Schizosaccharomyces pombe: one gene and its partners. The gene in region 3 interacts genetically with the main gene of each other region. Each region holds a gene or a part of one and is shown on either strand. Other genes may lie near its edges.

What was found.
Region 1: mutations in dbl2 (region 3) and hip3 impair growth when combined (synthetic growth defect), as found in Schizosaccharomyces pombe (one study listed by BioGRID).
Region 2: of dbl2 (region 3) and rad54, a mutation in one rescues a mutant of the other (synthetic rescue), as found in Schizosaccharomyces pombe (one study listed by BioGRID).

The regions. Positions count from the first base shown.
Region 1 is NC_003423.3:3,777,328-3,785,064, forward strand, and holds hip3 (histone chaperone Hip3), read right to left. Parts: upstream 6,001-7,737; 5' UTR 5,344-6,000; coding exon 451-5,343; 3' UTR 333-450; downstream 1-332. Other genes in the region: histone chaperone Hip1, read right to left, coding at 1-23; F0-ATPase epsilon subunit Atp15, read right to left, coding at 6,860-7,034, 7,107-7,135. UniProt on the Schizosaccharomyces pombe protein: Has a role in a nucleosome assembly pathway that is required for the integrity of heterochromatin and proper chromosome segregation.
Region 2 is NC_003424.3:3,679,860-3,685,300, reverse strand, and holds rad54 (DNA repair protein), read left to right. Parts: upstream 1-2,035; 5' UTR 2,036-2,155; coding exon 2,156-4,714; 3' UTR 4,715-4,941; downstream 4,942-5,441. Other genes in the region: EF-1 alpha-binding zinc finger protein Zpr1, read left to right, coding at 200-1,579. UniProt on the Schizosaccharomyces pombe protein: Plays an essential role in homologous recombination (HR) which is a major pathway for repairing DNA double-strand breaks (DSBs), single-stranded DNA (ssDNA) gaps, and stalled or collapsed replication forks.
Region 3 is NC_003421.2:308,260-313,462, reverse strand, and holds dbl2 (DNA recombination protein Dbl2), read right to left. Parts: upstream 3,150-5,203; 5' UTR 2,925-3,149; coding exon 777-2,924; 3' UTR 568-776; downstream 1-567. Other genes in the region: SPOM_SPCC736.02 (uncharacterized protein), read right to left, coding at 1-280; qns1 (glutamine-dependent NAD(+) synthetase), read left to right, coding at 4,982-5,010, 5,055-5,171.

The DNA of each region.
Region 1 (7,737 bases), on a different chromosome or scaffold from region 3:
CATGGAATTTTTTTAATTTTCATTTATTAATAAATATTGTTTTTGAATATTATTATTAAAAAAAAAAGGGGGGATTTGTGCGAAGGAGTCTTGTGAAGTGTGGTCGTAAAATGAAGTCTAAACTTTTATAAGCTCTTAAATGGAATGGGCTATGGTGCTTACAAGTTATTTTACTAGGACAGAAAGATAGTCTGAGCATCTTTAATAGTACAGTAGATACCTTTTTTTTTTTTTTTTTTTTTTTTTTTTTTTTTACAATAGGATTTTATGCTTTGTTGAAATTAGCACTATTGACTGCAAACACTTCAATGCACGATACAAAAAATCTACATGCCAGCTTTCATTATATGACAAAAAAAGCTTCAATTTTTTAGTAACTAAAAACAATAGAAGGAGCTTCTGTCTTAAATTTATGTAGCGAAATCCTTATGGAGGTTAAGGCACATAGGTTCATTGAATTTCTTCATGTATACCTGGACTTTCACCTGCCTGTGAGGAATCTTCAGTAAACGATCTTACCAATGAGGATGAAGTGGAAGCCAACTTTTGCAATATTTTGTTCTGGGTTTCACGATAGTAAGTTTCTCTATGAGGTCTAAACAGTGCTAATACTTTAGAAACCACGTCCTTCCTTGTAATAACAGTTTTTTGTTTTACAGAATTTTCATTATTAATAGCCTTCTCGTCATTCAGAGGTTTGGCCGTGATCGTACTGGGTGAGTTCGGAATATTGGCATCTAAAGGGGAGATCGAAGACTTCACTTCGTTATAAAGGCTCATGAAACAGTCAATAAGAAAATCATCGACCTTAATTGTTGGATATAGGCCATTGTTCAGTTTCCTGATTTCATATACTTGATGAAGAAGGCTCAACTTTTGTTCATCTAATAAACTTATTTCTTTGTAGACATATTTAAATTCCACAAGTGGTAAATCATTAATCTGAGTCTCTTTTACGGAGTGCTGAAGTCTCAAGTCTTCAAGGTACTTGATCATTATGTCCAGCCAAATTTGACGGTGTTCATAAATAGTGGAGGATGAACGACGAAATCTTTTTAAAAACTGCAAAAAGTTTACCTTGTCGTTGGTTTTGTAAAAAAGGGAGAGTAGATATCTTGAATAGGTAGCACCGTAATAAAAATGCCGTCCAGGTCTTTCATTAGGAGTCCTCCAAATGTTCAATAGCGATTTCCCGCTAGTTTTGTATGAGAATAAAGTTTCCATTTCTTCCTTTGCTTGTTGAACATTACCTAAATGCTCCATGATTTTAGCAATGCGATAAGTTGGTCGATGGTGCCAAGATTGTTTATCCAAAATACGCATCTCTGCTAACGCCTTTAGTATAAATAGTAAAGCATTCCTTTTGTAAATGTTTACGTCTTCGTTTTTGACTTCCAAAAGGCTTCCTGAATCTTTAGGAGGATGTCGGATACGTCGTAAATATGAAAGAATTTGAACGATTTCCACTGAACCTTCTATAGCAGCCTTGCTCAAATTGGAAAGTAAGGCATAATGTGGCTCAATAAGCAATGCTTGCTGGGAACCACTACCTGATTTAGTAGGAGCCAACGCAGCAGCAGCCTCAAAATGGACCAAAGCATTCTCCATATCACCACATTTACGGCATGCTTTGCCTAGCATGTACAAAGCTCTCCAATCATTACTTAATTCAGCAGACATGCCAAAATAGTCAGCAGCCAAAGCTATAACTTTTGATACTTCAATTGGCTTCATTGATAAATTATAAAGACCCGAAGCCCCACTAAAAACACGGGTTTCACTGGGAAGAAAAGCCGCCATCTCTAAAGGAGGTCGAGCGGATGCATAAAGGTTCATAGCAAAATCAAAATAGACGTTTGCCTTAAATAATTTGTCCTGAGTGAATGGCAACGATAAGGCCATTAAGTTACAAAGGATGGCTTTTCTCCTATACTCGTTGATGACATCGTCTGCGAGGCAGATTTGCTCTGCACTCCAGCCAAGCTCTTCATCTGCTAATGAAGAAAATACGGAGGAACAAGTATACCATGAATCTTGTCGACGTGGATTAAGGTACAAGTCAAGAAGAAAATACTTGATGATCACAAGTAAATCGTTAATGCATCTACTACCTTTCAGTCTAGAGCGATAATATCCAAACAGTACTTGAGATTGAGCATAGTAGAGCCCCCTAACACGATCATCCACAACCTTGCTACCAATTTCGCGTAAACCAAGGATGTCATTGGACTTTAGTAACATTTTGGTAAGTTGTGGAGATATATCTCTTTCCAAAAATTCTTTAATTGCACATTTGTTGAAATAAACGTCAGCATTATTTTCACCAGGAAACCTAATTACCTTACAAATTATTTCTAATGCGTTTTTTTGATCAGAACGAGGCATTACCCAGCCATGCGACCGTTTGACAGCAAAGCCGAGTATGAAAGGTATTATCTTTATGGCATCATTTGAAGTCAAATTAACAGAATCTGACTGATGAGATTGTGGAACATAGTACTCGCTGCCAATAATTAGGTTAAAGCGACAACAAACGCATTGTAAAATTTCATTTTCGTTTTCCCAAGCATCTAATCGTTGGCATTCAGTTTGAGAGAGTTCTAAAAATGATTGATTAGAGCTCGAACAATAACCTCTAAAGGAATATTGGCTATGTATTGCGGTAAGGATTTGAGGTAATAACTTTTGAGCATCAGCTTTAATAAAATCGTAATGAAGTAAATGCGCAAACAGAGTGTAAAATATGCACCAACCACTCATCAAAGAATCTTTTACCGTTTGAGCATAAGAATCAAACTCAGGGTTTGAAGGTTTTGGAATCCTTTGATCCGAAATGTCCTCATCTATTCCAACATAAATAGCAAAAGTGCGCAAGTATATAAGGATAATTCTAATGCAATCAATGACAGTCATCTCGTTACAGGGAGACAATATATCAGGTTGCTCATGTAATTTTTGCCAAATAATCCTGAATAAATTTGAAGAAAAATTAAGCATGCCGAGTAGTTCAGCCTGACGGCGACCGGCATCTTGAATACTGAATGACGAAGAACAAAGCCTAATTAAAATAATTTTTAGCGATTGAAAGGCACACAACAACGAATTATAAGGTCTATGTGCTGAGCTATAAGCCTGATACAGTAAATACCATAAGTGTATTTGAAATTCAGTAGAAGTCTTTTCCAAAAATTGAGAAATAAATTTTGCTTGAGGATCTTCTGCAAATTTGTTTTCAGGAGAAAGGACGGGTTCCAAATTTTTTATAACGGCATTAAAGTCCAAGTTTTTGGTATTCATAAATAAAGTATTAAAAAACTCAACGGTTTGTAATTTGGAAAGTTCAAAATCGACAACCTGAACGCTCAAATCTGCCATGCATTGACTGTTTAAAAGTTCAAGAGAATCACTGTTTTCTTGCAAAAGACAACGCAACTGTTTGAAATTTTCAACTATAGCCTCACTAGAACAACCAGTTAACCGTAACAATAAGTTTCGAGCCCATGAGTTTCTAATTATCAAATGTCTTTGGCTAGAACTTTTACAAGACGGCTGCAATTCGACTACTTGTTCAGTAAGAGATTTCCAACGTAAGCAACGTAATTTTTTATATTCCAATGACTCAGTTGGTATTTCAGAAACATTATCGTCTTTTTGATCATTGGAGCTAAACTTGAGCGCTAAAAAGTAATCGTCTAAAAACAGTTCAAAAAGCGATTGTGAAATATTAAAAACTTCAGGGGTTTGTAAGCTTGCCTTCACCAGTTCGTGAAGAGTGCTTTCAATTCTCTCACAAATTGTAGTAAATTTCTTTTTAAATATTTTCCCCCAACATTGCTGCAAATAGAATGGAGGCTCTAATTTTCGAGGCCTTAACATACTCTCAACAAAGAATGTAGCAAGCTCAGCGGGAACCATATTGAGACTATTTACTTCACTTAATAATTGAAGAAGATAACCATCCGGGACCTGCATATGCTCAAGTCTATTAGCACTATGCATAGCTAAATCAATAAGAATCATTTTGGAGAAAGCTCCGTTAGCTGCTGAGTCGGTCGAAACATCTAGGTCCGGAATACTGCCTTCGCTAGGAAAATTAACTAGTAATTGATGATAGTCTTCAAATATGGAACTATATTCTCGAAACATAGATTCACCTGAAAACGGGGAAGTTGCGTCAGGAAATCTTTTTTGGATTTGCTCATTAATATCCGAAGTTATGCTTGCAATCAAAGAAAACAAGTTCGACTCTGAAGGCGTTCGTAAGTCTCTACCACGAGATCTTTTACTAATGCGTACATCGGAATCATCTATCGGCCTCTTAAGGAGTTGGGGTTTAGGCAAATTATCCGAAGGAGGTGGAACAATGTCCTTGGCATAAACAGGTTCAGACAATTTTGCAGCTGTATTAATAGTATTAGTATCGGGCCCTGCATCTGAAATTTCAGACCATAATTCTGAATCAGTGGATTCCAAATCATGCGATTCTGCGGTGCTCAAATTCAGGGAATGAACATGAATAATTAATGTCGAAGGAAAACCACGAGTCGGGGTTTTTTTTTCATTTATCTGTAATGCATATAGAACAAGATCTAAAAAACCATGAAGAGTGTCATGAGATAGTTGAAGTTTTTTTATTTTCGGGCATAAGTTTATGGACCTTCGATGAAATGAAGGAGTGGGTAATTGAGGAAAAAAAGAAGGCAAAGTATAAAGAGAACTAATCGACAAATCCAATTGCGGTAAGGGTTCTGCTATACCGCCTAACTTTTTTAACAAATTGTATAGGTTTTGTAGAGAGATAAGCTTCCCAGGATTTAAATCATCAATATTCGTAAATACTCTCTCCGCGTCAAAGGGTTCGTAGCCGGTATAAAATGATGACTCTAAAGCAAATCTTTGAATTCTTGGCATTTCCAATTTTTCAGCTAACTCGGCAACAAAAGACCAAAGTTCTATGTCATTGTAATCGCAAGCCAATGCAATAGCAAAATCGAGCAGGGCGTCCCGATACACAGGGATGGGATCGGTTGAAGGATCTAAGGATAATAAAGATTGTAGCTTTGACAGCAAAAACAAACCATGATTTTTTCTAGTGAGGTAATGTAGTAGCAATAAAGCATTATTTTTTTTATAATTAGAATTAACGGTAAAAGGGAGTTCGCGAAGAATTCGAACATTCAATAGCTCATCGTAATACTTTGTAGCAGCATTGTCATCTCCCTGCTTCTGGGCTGAAAGTGCATTTTGATATATTTGAACAGCTTCTTCAATTCGGATTTCTAAAGTGCGTTTTTCCTTATCCAGATCTTCACTGGCCGCATTTAGAGGAGTAAACGTTGCCATAACCTTAATATGAGACTTCCAAATTGATCACTGTATAAAACTGTAACCAGAAATTGAAAAAAGTATGTAGATAAGATGTTAAAGTTGTAGATAAAGGAAGCGATGTATTACAAAAAGCGTCAAACAACTGTGGTTTTCAATACTATACTCCGCAAAAGCATTGAGCAATAAGCCTGCATTGGAAGATCAAGCTATTGAGCGTCCTAAATTCAGATTTCAGCTCTCTACACACCTTCAAAAAGCAAAGATAATTAAAATAAGTGCTAATAACAAAAAAAAAATTAAAAACTCCCAACGCAAACAAAACCTCAGGAAATCAATCAGTGCGTTTACAGATGTTTATATTAAGTCATAAAATCGGTATGAATTCACTAATTCCCAAGGCAATTTAAGGCTGGTTCTTTAATGTTTTGATGCACTGAACAAACTTTTGAACTTGGGTGACGACTACTTTTTTAAGTAGGAACAGATTATGAATTGCAATCAAAAGCAAACTTTTATAGTTTTAAGGGATGTTTATCATAAGGATATTGTTTTGTAACTCTTCTCTTACTACAGACTTTATCAAAGTAGTTTAGTAATTTCTTTGATGTCGTTAAGAAAGCGTAAGTGGTGACTTTTGTCTTTGCTGTGTAACGTATTTAGTTCGTGGTTTTCAAAAAGAAGAGTGTGTTGATTTTCTGCATCGTTAATACCGCACGTTGCCTTCGACTACAAACGCCAACATAGACAGGTGCAGACAGGTCTCAAACACGTCTTTAGTGGCATATCTAGAGACCCAAGTAGTCACTAAATAGCGAAGTTAAACGATACACTATATCCTTGCAAGAAGAGAAAGAGTACAAGGCATCAAGTGGAGTTTGTTTTGAATGTAATGCGATTTCGTATGTATACCCTGTTTCTTTCATTCGGGCTCTAAAATTGTATTCATACAATTAAAAATTTTTTAATGGGTGAGTTTGCATGATTGTTTGAAAACAGTAGAACAAGCAATTTTGTTCGACGTTGAAGCCATTTTTTAGAAACTAGATAACGATACAAACAATTAAGAACATAGTATTGTAGTAAGTTTACTGTGTAATGCGACTATAAATGATCTCGGTAGTAGCAAAAACAAAAACTACGTTAATGAATGATATTAGTGACAAAACTCACTTACTTCTAAATTAGCTACATCTCATTATAGTAAAATCAACAATTTTTGGTTTTGAGACAAAGGCCGATTATAGATTTGATCGAAAATACAGAGCAACCACAATGATTTGAAGTGCCATTCTCAACAGTTTTAAGAAAACAGAGCAAACTACCTTGTTCTATTAAACTTCATCATTAAAAAAAGTAATAAAAATTTATTGAAAGGATCAGTTAGTAATTCAACGTTAAGTCGAATATAGTAATCATTATAAGAGATTGTAAACCATCAGTGATATCTGTTGAAATGAGTGAAACATCAAATGAAGCTGAAATATTACCAATGGGTAATGAAGGACAAAAAATTCGTTTGTAGCCTTTATTTTCATTCCTTATCAGCAGACTTTGCCGAATTGTAAGACTCCGTTTTTTCCTGAGCGCCATTTTTCCATCGAGTATAAAGGAACTCTGCATCACCATGAGTTTTAACCTCGTTTTTAATTTCCGGTTTTAAGGCTTGACGAACAGTTTGGGAACAAATAGAAGCATATTTGCTATAACTACAAATATTCATTCATTAGTAAAACTATCAGGGTATATTTAATGTTCACATTCAAGAAATGAATCCATACCTAAAGTTTTTCTTCCAAGCAAAAGCCATTTTCTCAATGAATTGCTAAATCGTACAGAGATGGGGGAACGGTAACTTAAAATCCATGACACTCTCTTGAAACCCCGTTCGGTAAGGGTCGGACACATTTATTGAGTTCAATATGTACATTCGTTAATCTAACATTGGTAACGTGCTTTTCTTAGTAAAATATAGCGCAGTTTGATTAAAATGACTTTGGTGATGCTAACGATTCATCGCTATACAGATTGCCTTTTTATTAATCAACACTATTCAGTAAATAAATATTCAAAAGGCCGTATTAATTTGAATTGACAAATGAATATATACCTCTCATCAGTCAAAAGGCTGGTTATTTTCGCTACTAACCATAATTTATTAGAAGGACAAAGCGGTACCAAAGCCTTAATTGTTTACTAGCTGGGCAAGTGAAAGTAATTCAATACATTCGCAAGAAAACTGAACTTAAGCACTGTTACGTTTCTCACTTTGTTTAATCTTAACACTTATCGTAGTTAATTTAAAAATGTCAGTTAAAACAAGCAATGTATACTAGCACTCTCCATTGATTGTATTTAGTCAAATTAGCTTTCTTGATGAGCGTTAACATGAATGGCTTAAGCATAAATTTC
Region 2 (5,441 bases), on a different chromosome or scaffold from region 3:
TAAAAAAGTAAAATTTTTGCATTTTACCATATTTTACTTTAGTTTTAATTTTGTTTTTCATTAAAGACAGTTTATATTGGGTCATTAAGGAAAATTTTTTCCATTCAAGTGAAGACAAATTTTATATTGGTACAAGTTATTCTGTACTTGTCCTTAAACACATCTAATCAAAATAACGCTAAAAAGAAAATTTGAGAGCATGGCGGAAGAAAAAAAGGAAGAATTGTTCACAAGTATTGGCAATGCTGCACAAAATGTGTCAACAGCTGAGGATAGGGAAGGAAATGGTGTTCAAGAAGTCGAATCGTTGTGTATGGAGTGTGGAAAAAACGGTACTACTAAATTATTGTTGACGGTCATTCCATACTTCCGTGAGGTTGTTTTAATGTCGTTTGAATGTCCTCATTGTGGGTTTAAGAATGCGCAAGTTCAACACGCTGAGACAATTCAACCGGAAGGAAGCAAAATTACTTTCCATGTTGAGGATAAGGAAGATTTAAATCGGACAGTTGTAAAGAGCCAGGAGGCTATTGTCAGTATTCCTGAAATTCAGCTAGAAATCCCGGGAAGGTTAGGCCAGTTAACTACCATTGAGGGGATTCTGAGTAATGTGGTGGATGATTTAAGTAAAGAACAAGAATCTCGTAAGGAGTCTGCTCCTCAGTTATATGACCAAATAAATGCTTTCATTGAGAAAGTGAATAGTCTACGTTCTGGATCTGTACCATTTACCATCACAGTTGACGATATTACGGGCAACAGCTGGATCGAGATGAAACCTGGCCGAGATGGTGACCGATGGTCTCAGGTTAGCTACAAGCGTACTTTGGAGCAGAATACGAAGCTGGGTCTTGTGGATACTGATCAACCTGAAGACGTCAAGACACAAACAAACAACGCTTCTAATACACTTAAACATGATGCTACTGCTGTGGAAGTCGATCCCAATGAGGTACATACCTTCCATGCAACTTGTCCCTCTTGTTCACATCAATGTGACACCCACATGAAGTTGCTTGATATTCCCCATTTCAAAGAAGTTATTATCATGTCTACTGTTTGTGATCGTTGTGGATATCGTTCCAACGAAGTAAAAACTGGTGGTGAAATTCCACCCAAAGGTCGAAAAATTACTTTAAAGGTCATGGATGCCGAGGACTTATCCCGTGATATTCTCAAATCTGAAACCGCATCTCTTAAAATTCCTGAACTTGGACTTGATTTGTTCCCAGGTACTTTGGGTGGACGATTCACAACCATTGAAGGTCTTCTAGCTCAAGTTTATGATGAGTTATATGGCCGTGTGTTTTCTCAGGAGACCGATTCTATGACTCCTGAGCAAGTCGCTAACTGGCAACAATTTCTCTGCAACTTGACGGCTGCACGTGAGGGTGCTACTCAATTCACTCTTATTTTAGATGATCCTCTTTCACAAAGTTATCTGCAGAATTATTACGCTCCCGATCCAGATCCAAATATGACTATTGAGGAGTATGAACGTTCATTCCAAGTAAATGAGGAATTGGGTCTGAACGATATGAAGACAGAAAACTATGAAAAGGATGGAGGTAAGAAGTAAAGTTCGAGGTTTTTGTCAAATGTTAGGGAATGTATTTAATATAGTAATACTATGTTTTTTTGGGGGGTTTATTGACTATGAAGATATAATAGTATAGTAGATTAGCTAATTTTTATTTCCCGTAATGTTTTTGTTAGAGACTGATGCTTTATTATTTTACTTTTAGTTTAAAATAGTTACTTGATTTATCGCAAATGTTATGAGGCTAATAATTCGAAGTATTAGTAAACCATAAAATTTGCTACAAGAAATGTTAGATAGTGAAGCTAAAATTATTACCAATAACAAACTTGTAACACATATTTAGCCGATACCAGAAATAATTGATTCATATTTCACAATTTCATTATTTGTATACCATGTTTAGTGAAGGGTAACAATGGTGCGTAATTTAAAGAACGCGACACGCTATAATAGTAATAGAATTTAATTTATATATACATCTAGATATTTCTCAACACATACCATTGGTATAAACAGCACTTTCCTTTTTTTTTTGTTTGAATCCTTATCCCTCTTTTCCTACCCTTTCTTCTATTTCAGTAATCTCTTTTTTAATAATTGCTAATATATTTAATGATTCAGCAACCAACAACTGCTAAACCTAGAATTTCTACTTCTTCAAAGTTAAATACTGTTTTATCAAAAAACAAAGAGAATGTTCCTGGAAAGTTGTTTAAAAAGTTTAAATGCCCTTCTTTAGTGATTTCAGAAAAGCGAAAAGAGCTTCCTTTACGCAAAAAGCCAAGAGTTAACTACAGCGAATATGGTTCTGTTGATGGGAAGTATGATTCAGCTTACGTATCTGAAAATGTGTCTGGGTTGGCAACCATCAAAGAAGCTAATCGATTAATACTAAATCATGAACGACGAGATCCCTCAACAGTCATTAAGAAACAGTTCTCTGTGCCTAAACCTATCAAGGGTCATGAAGATATATCTAAACTGTGTGCACATCGTCCACCTCCTACACTGGGAATGAAAAGGAAGGTGGATTTTATTCCTCGTCCCCTTTACGATCCTGCTGATGAATTTGCTATCGTTTTATATGATCCCACTACTGATGCAGATGAGATCATTCCTGATATAAAAGAGGTCTTAGCGGAAAAACGTAAAAAAGATGAATTGTTAAAAAATCGAAAAGGAAAGAAAGAAATTTCTGATAGTGAGCCTGAAAGTGACCATGATTCATGTGTCTCCACTGACACAGTGGCTAGCTGTTCTACCGAGCAAAGTCTCATAACCTCTAATACCTCAAAGCATAGAAGACCAAATAAAAGTTTGAAAGATCTACTAGGAATTCAGAAAGAAAAACCTCCACCTCCTCCTGTTGCTGTTGTCATTGATCCAAAACTTGCTCGTATTCTAAGACCTCATCAAATAGAAGGTGTCAAATTCTTGTACAAGTGTGTAACTGGAAGGATTGACCGTTGTGCAAATGGATGTATTATGGCAGATGAGATGGGACTTGGTAAGACACTTCAATGTATTGCTTTGTTATGGACCCTTTTAAAACAGTCTCCTCAGGCTGGAAAACCGACAATTGAAAAGGCAATTATAACTTGTCCTTCTTCTTTAGTCAAAAATTGGGCTAATGAACTTGTCAAATGGTTAGGAAAAGATGCTATTACTCCATTCATATTGGACGGTAAAAGCTCCAAACAGGAGTTAATCATGGCTTTGCAACAATGGGCATCCGTACATGGACGACAAGTCACACGTCCAGTGCTTATTGCCAGTTATGAAACCCTTAGAAGTTATGTTGAGCATCTCAACAACGCAGAAATTGGAATGCTTCTTTGTGACGAAGGTCATCGTCTTAAGAATAGTGATTCTTTGACTTTTACGGCATTAGACAAGCTAAACGTTCAAAGGCGTGTCATCCTTTCTGGTACCCCTATTCAAAATGATCTAAGCGAATACTTTTCGTTGTTAAATTTTGCGAATCCTGGGTTGTTAGGTTCAAGGCAAGAGTTCAGAAAAAATTATGAAATTCCAATTTTAAAAGGTCGTGATGCTGACGGAACAGAAAAAGATAAGGAGAATGGTGATGCTAAGTTAGCTGAGTTAGCCAAGATTGTCAATCGGTTTATTATTCGTCGTACGAATGATATTCTCTCCAAATATTTGCCTGTTAAATACGAACATGTTGTCTTTTGCAACCTTTCCGAATTTCAGCTTTCTTTGTACAAGCATTTTATTACCTCGCCTGAAATCAATAAAATCTTAAGGGGGACCGGCAGTCAACCACTAAAAGCTATAGGTCTGCTAAAAAAAATATGTAATCATCCTGATCTATTGAATTTAACTGAGGACTTGGAAGGTTGTGAGGCTCTATTCCCTCCAGGATTTATTCCCCGTGAGCTAAGAGGGCGCGATAGAAACATTGACTCCTCTTTATCAGGTAAAATGTTAGTGTTGGAACGAATGCTCTATCAAATAAAACAAGAGACAGACGATAAAATTGTTTTAATTAGCAATTACACCTCCACGCTTGACTTGTTTGAGCAGCTTTGTAGAGCTCGCGGTTACAAGGCTCTTCGGCTAGATGGTACTATGAATGTAAATAAACGACAACGTTTAGTTGACACATTCAATGACCCGGAAAAGGATGCTTTTGTGTTTTTATTATCTTCTAAAGCAGGTGGTTGTGGTATTAACCTTATTGGCGCTAATCGTCTTATTCTGTTTGATCCCGATTGGAATCCAGCCGCCGATCAACAAGCTTTAGCTCGAGTTTGGCGTGATGGGCAAAAGAAGGACTGCTTTGTTTACCGTTTCATAGCTACTGGAACCATCGAAGAAAAGATATTCCAAAGGCAGTCTCATAAGCAATCTTTGTCTTCTTGTGTTGTGGATGAAGCTCAAGATGTCGAAAGACATTTTTCGCTTGATAACTTAAGGCAGCTGTTTCAGCTTAACGATCACACAGTCTGTGAAACTCATGAAACATATAAATGTAAACGGTGTCGTGATGGAAAACAATTCATCCGAGCCCCAGCCATGTTATACGGTGATACTAGCACATGGAATCATTTTACAAATCCCACATTAGACCGAATAGAAGATCACTTGCTAAAACGTGAGGCAGGAAAACAGCAAGTGAGTACCGTTTTCCAATACAAATCTCATTAATTTTTACGTGTTTAATTACGCTGCTCTCTTCACAAATCCTCATATTTTCATTTAGTTTGATTTGTCTTTAAACTACTCTCACCTCTCTTTATCCCTGTTTGATTTGCTATTCGATGCATAAAACAATATCATGAATTTAATTCCGGTTTTTAAAATATAGTTTTTAATTTAATTAATATCCAACCCTCAATTGTATCCTACCAAACCTCAATTACTCCTTGGTAAGCTTTGTGACAAAATTATTACGAATTTACAGGTATGCTGAAATAAATTTTTTTTTTTAGAATGTTATATTCAATTGTTAAGAGCATATAATTTGTCATATTTTTCTGAAACATTTGAAATTGCATTTGTTAGTATTCGAACCCGTGACAGTTTTAGCACTGCTTTTCTATATTAAGATTGGGATGTCTCGAATTTTTGTTATTAACCATGTAGCTACTTTTAGGCAAACTGCATACATCTTATATGCTTTTTGTCACTCTAATAGCTTATATAAACATTGCTTATGTCTAAATACTTTGGACGTTCAAACTCGTGAATGTTCCAATATAGGTAGAAGCTTACATAACCAATTATTTATTTAAGGGTTGTTTCATTTGCAATCTTATATATTACTTCTAAATATTATATATGCATATTTACTTAACAAAAATAGTAACATTCAATAGTAGTTAGACCCGGATTATAAAGCCAATCGACAAATATCAAGTTTGCTGGCAACGGA
Region 3 (5,203 bases):
AGAGAATGATGCTTTTGGGTACCATTGAAAGAGTAAAATCAATAGGCATGAAGATAGGCGTATTATTCCTTAAAGATAATCGGTGTCTCAAACTACGAGAAGTCACTGCCAAATTCGAATTATTGGATAACAAAAATATTAATCTTAAAACTTCTAAAGGTAAAGACTCAAAAACCGTTAACGCTCTAGCTTTTCCATCAGTCAAATTATTTTTGACCTTTCTTTTCGTAATTTTTTCATTATAGTCATTTTTTATGGTCTGTTTTCGCTTTTTACCCATCTTTAACAAGATTTTTGGAGCTCACCAACAGACACTATTTAGTGCTGAAAAATTTAAACATGTATAGAAAATAAATGACTACAAAAGATAATTTAACTTAAAATATTTACAACATTTTCATAATAACCCAAATAGTTGGTTTTTTAAAAGAAAAGAATAAATCTGATACTTATTTGCTCAAAGGTTCAAAGAAGAAACTCAAGGTTTTGAAAAAGCAATGTATGTGCTACTAAAAAATGAAAATCAAAACCTAGAATTGTACTAACAACACCAAAAACAAGCTGAAATCTAATGTTTAAAAAAAAAAAATTAATTATATGTAAAAGAGCTAAATAAGTATAGCTAAAACCTAAATGAACTATGGAAAAATAAATGTTGATAATAATACATGAAGGAAACCAGAAATCAAAATTCAGTACTGTTTTTTGAATTAAAAATTATATGTAACAAAGTCGGCTTGAGAGAGAAGTTTCAACGTACGAAAGAAAAATTAATTTCAAATAAAGTCACCATCTTCGTCCGAATCGAGATCGCGTCCTTGTGTAGTCATGGCATGCTTAAATTTTAGCATTTTTAACTTTGCCCTTTTGATCTTGCTACTCGTTGAAGCAAGTGTTACTGTATTTACAAATGGCAAATCCGTAATGTTTGACGAAAAAGGCTCAATAGGTAACGAACAAGACTCTTGAAAAGTTGGTAAAATAGGAGATTTCTTTCCCGCTTTAGAAAAAATATCCGGAATTTTGGTAAGTATTTTCGGAGGCTTTTGGTTTTTGCTGGGTGAGAGATTTACAGCTCGAACAGTAGGCGAGGATGAAATGGTATCCGAAGGAGAAGAGTCCGTTTCAATAGCATTAGGAACATTTCCTTTTTTCTTTTGGACTTGGTCCGAAGAAGAAACAGTAAACGAAGGGACATTAAAAGGGCTAGAAAATACCGACACATTTCTGGATTTCGAGTTTTTAGGCAACGACGAATGTTCCCCTGAAGATATTATAGAAGTAGCTCCAAAACCGTCTTTTCTTTTCGAACCATTTGCATATTTAGGATATATCAACAAGCCTGTTCTCAGCGATACACCTGAATGTTTGGCCAAGGAAGGATGTTTGGCATGTTCAAGCACAGTAGAAGGTGAAACGTTAGGATTGACTGCATTGTTGGATTGTAGAAAGATTGAAGAAGAAGCACTAGATCCATTAAGTTCGTTTGAGCGAAGGGACGTGCCTAAGTGAGAGTGACTCCTACCAAACGAGGACGAAGATGCTGGTTTAACTAAAGGAGATGAAAAAGACGGTACACGAAACTTCACGGGTTGAAAGGCTTTTTTGTTGGGCAAAGCCAAAGGTGTTAAAAGAGATGACGAATCTAGCGAAGGAATGTGTTCATCCTCTTCTGATGCTGCATCTAGAAAATCAGGAGAGTTTGGTATTTCATTATCAGTTGTTTCTGTTACATTTTGAAGCGATGCCAGCTCGGCAGCAGTTTTGACACTTCTTTCGTACAAGTTTTTTGAGGGGTCGGTAACTGTGATATTAATAAAGTTTTGTCGTTTCCCCGTGGGTTTCCGAAGCAGAGGTAACGGAAGGCGAGTCAAACGGAGACGTTTAGAAGTAGGACTGGGTTCTGCAACAGAAGAATCTTGTCTTTGATGATCATCATTTAGCCCATCGTTTTTGTTGGAAGGTATGGTATTACAAGCGCGGGAAGAATGAGGAGATCGAGCATGATTATTAGAAACTTCTTCATTTCCATTTTCTAATGCCTTCACGGAGACACTTACGTTATCATTACTTAGGTTTTGTAACAAATGACCAGCATTTGAATTATTTAGAGTGGTAAAATCATCTGCCTCGAGATCGGCAGAAGGGGAAGAAAAAAAGTCAGAAGCTATGTCGTCTTCTCCAAATTCTTCTACAGGATCTTCAACCAAGGTGCCATTAAAAGACTTGGGTTTTGACAAAACAGGGATATATGCAATTTTCGAAGGTTTCGGTAGCGCAGTTACGGATGAGTTAGATGGGGGATAGGGAGAGGTATTGTTAGCTCGATTAGATTCCTCAACAGAAGAAGCTAGATATGAGTTTGGTCTAAACTTAGCTTTGGGTTGTATTTCCGGTGTTACTGACAGTTGATGCTTACTTGAACATCTCAAACTACCAATATCTGAGTCATCTACTCCATAAGATTGCAAATTTGCGTTCCGGAAGATCGTGGATTTTGTTGAATTTGTATGATGAGCGTGTGTTTTTAACATATTTGACGATAAAGCACCATTTGAATTGTTAGATACATCTGAGTTAGCGGAGTGAAATGGAGGCTGGAATGGTTTTAATAAATAAGCTGGCCTCTTCCCTGTCTCACTCAATTTTGATTTCCTCGGTATAGGTGGAATATTCGCTTCAGTAGTTGTTTGTAAATTCTCAACGTAAACAATAGTTCTATTAAATTCAATTTCAGAATCCAGAACAATTCTCTTGTTGTTAAGGAAAAAATCATCTACGACTCGGTTATCAGAATCGTAGAGAATTCCACGATTATTGAAGCTGTGGAAGCGCATTGTCCCATCTTTCCAAACTTTTACTTTTTTTGCTTTATCAGACGTCCACAATACTTGATAATGAAAAACATTGGAACTTGTATCCATAGAATATAAGTTTTAAAGCCTGTAAAGGCAGTTCCGAAAGGTGGCTTACGAAAAGCTTAATATTGTTGAAAAAAACTCACAAACCACCCTATTTAATAATTAATTAAAGAATAAGAGTGAGAATATCTATTTCATGTATAAACCTCATTTGAGCATTAATTGCTCTCGCTTTAGGAATGGGAATTACGTGCTTTTGTTGGATGGTAGTTAGGAAATGGTTGGTATACAGCAGAAAGTTGAAATCTAGGAAAGTAAATGATCTCAAGCCAGAAAATTACATCTTTGTAGAATCCTTAAACAAGGTTTCCTTTTCTTTTCTTTTTCTTTATGAACTACAAACGAGTTGAGCTTTTGGTTATTGATATGAGGTACTTGTTTACACGCCGAAATGATTGAAGGTAACTTTATAATACGCAAGCAGAAGCAGATTATCTCTTGAGATGGTTTCAAGAGAGATGCTTATTTTTATTAATTTTACTAATCTACAAGGTCTAATATTTGATGGGTTTTTCTTTAGTAAAAGGTCTCTTAGTGCCCAAGGAAGCAAAACTGTTAGATAATTTTCAATATCCTGTATCGAGAAACGGAAACAATGGTTAATAATCCCGATTGATAGTTTCATAGGGACAGACTGTGTGTATACATAATGATATATAAAAAAAGATGTCTTTTTTCACCTTAAACCATGAAGTTTACAGTTGAGCTTACAGAGGCAGATTGCTTCAAATATTCGTAATGTAAAATTATTTATCTTGTAAATTTGTATCTATCGTCGCATTATAATAGAGAATCTAAACATAGCAGTTGGAGATAAAACTGATTCTTTTGTTCTTCTATCGCTTTTGAGGTTTGCAGGCAAGAAAATTCATCAAAGATGATTGATGATACGATTAGGTGCAAAAGTACTTATGTTATAATTTTAGCAACATAAAAGGCCTATAGAGGGTAATTCTGCTCGAAATCTTGAACTTGCAATTCTCATCACCATGTCGAAGATAGGTACAAATTAAGTTATTAAAGTTGGTTTAAGCGCACTGATAGAAATTTACCTAAAATTTAGTACTTGGACGAAATTTAGGAGAAAAAAGCCCAAGAAGATGAAGAAAGTTGTTTCATTGTAATAATAAACCTGAAATCTTTTGTCAATTCTAATTAATACCCTTTCAAAAAAGAAGACTGATCTTTGCAATCACTAAAACTATTAAATTTATTGAGCAGCTGAAGAATCATCTGTCTATAATTTGCAACAAGAAGTAACTGAAGGGGAGTTAAAAAATGAGTATCAACCATTATGGCATCTGTCGCTTTGCTTCTTCTTCTTTAAGCTAAGTAATTTCGATTATATGCTCCAAGAACTAAGTATATTAATTAAATCATGAAATATTTTCAAGGATAAAATTAAAACAATTTTGTACTATTAAAAAAATGTAATTACTGTTGTGCGTATTCCAGATATCAGCTTGCTCTATAATCATCAAAAAACCTGTAATTATAAGCGAGTAACACTAATAAAACCAGACAGACTTTAAATCAAAAAATTTCATTTATTAGCTCGTATATCTGAAAAAGATAGGCAAATTTTTTTATTAAAGGAAGTCCCAGAAATGACTTCACTTGAGAAGATATATCGCTAAAACTAGAATTTGTATTGCAATATCAAATAAAAATTACAATTATTCTGATTTTATAAATCAATTTTTAAGCTATGTAGTAATGTACAATTAATACACATGTAGTTAGAAGAGTCGCCAAAATTTGCATAAGAAGTATTAAGGTTCTTTTTACTAATATCAGAGAGGGTCTTTAAAATTATTTAAATTTTCTTTTTCTTACTTAGGGAAACTGGCATTTTTGCTATATGATGCGAACCCTTTATTTACACTTGACTCTACTATGACAACTACCTCCTGCTCTTACTTACTGCCATAACCGTGAATAGACATTTGAATAGAAACTTCGATCTTCACTCATAGTTGGAACTTTTATAGTACGAAAAAAACATTATAAGTTAAATTACTTGTTTGGGAATAAACCTCAAGTTAAGCATTCAGTTCATTATGGAACGATATGTAACCATCGCATCTTGGTATGCTATAATCATTTTTCGTCTCAATGATCTAACTTCTGTAGTCAGCTGAACCAGTGGGCAATGGACTTTGAGGGAAACCGTCTACGCATCATTGATTCCATCAAAGAGGCGAAAAGACAAAACGCAAGCCTTCGTGTTGGTCCAGAATTAGAAGTCACGTATGTAATAGAAATGGATTTAAATGTTGCAA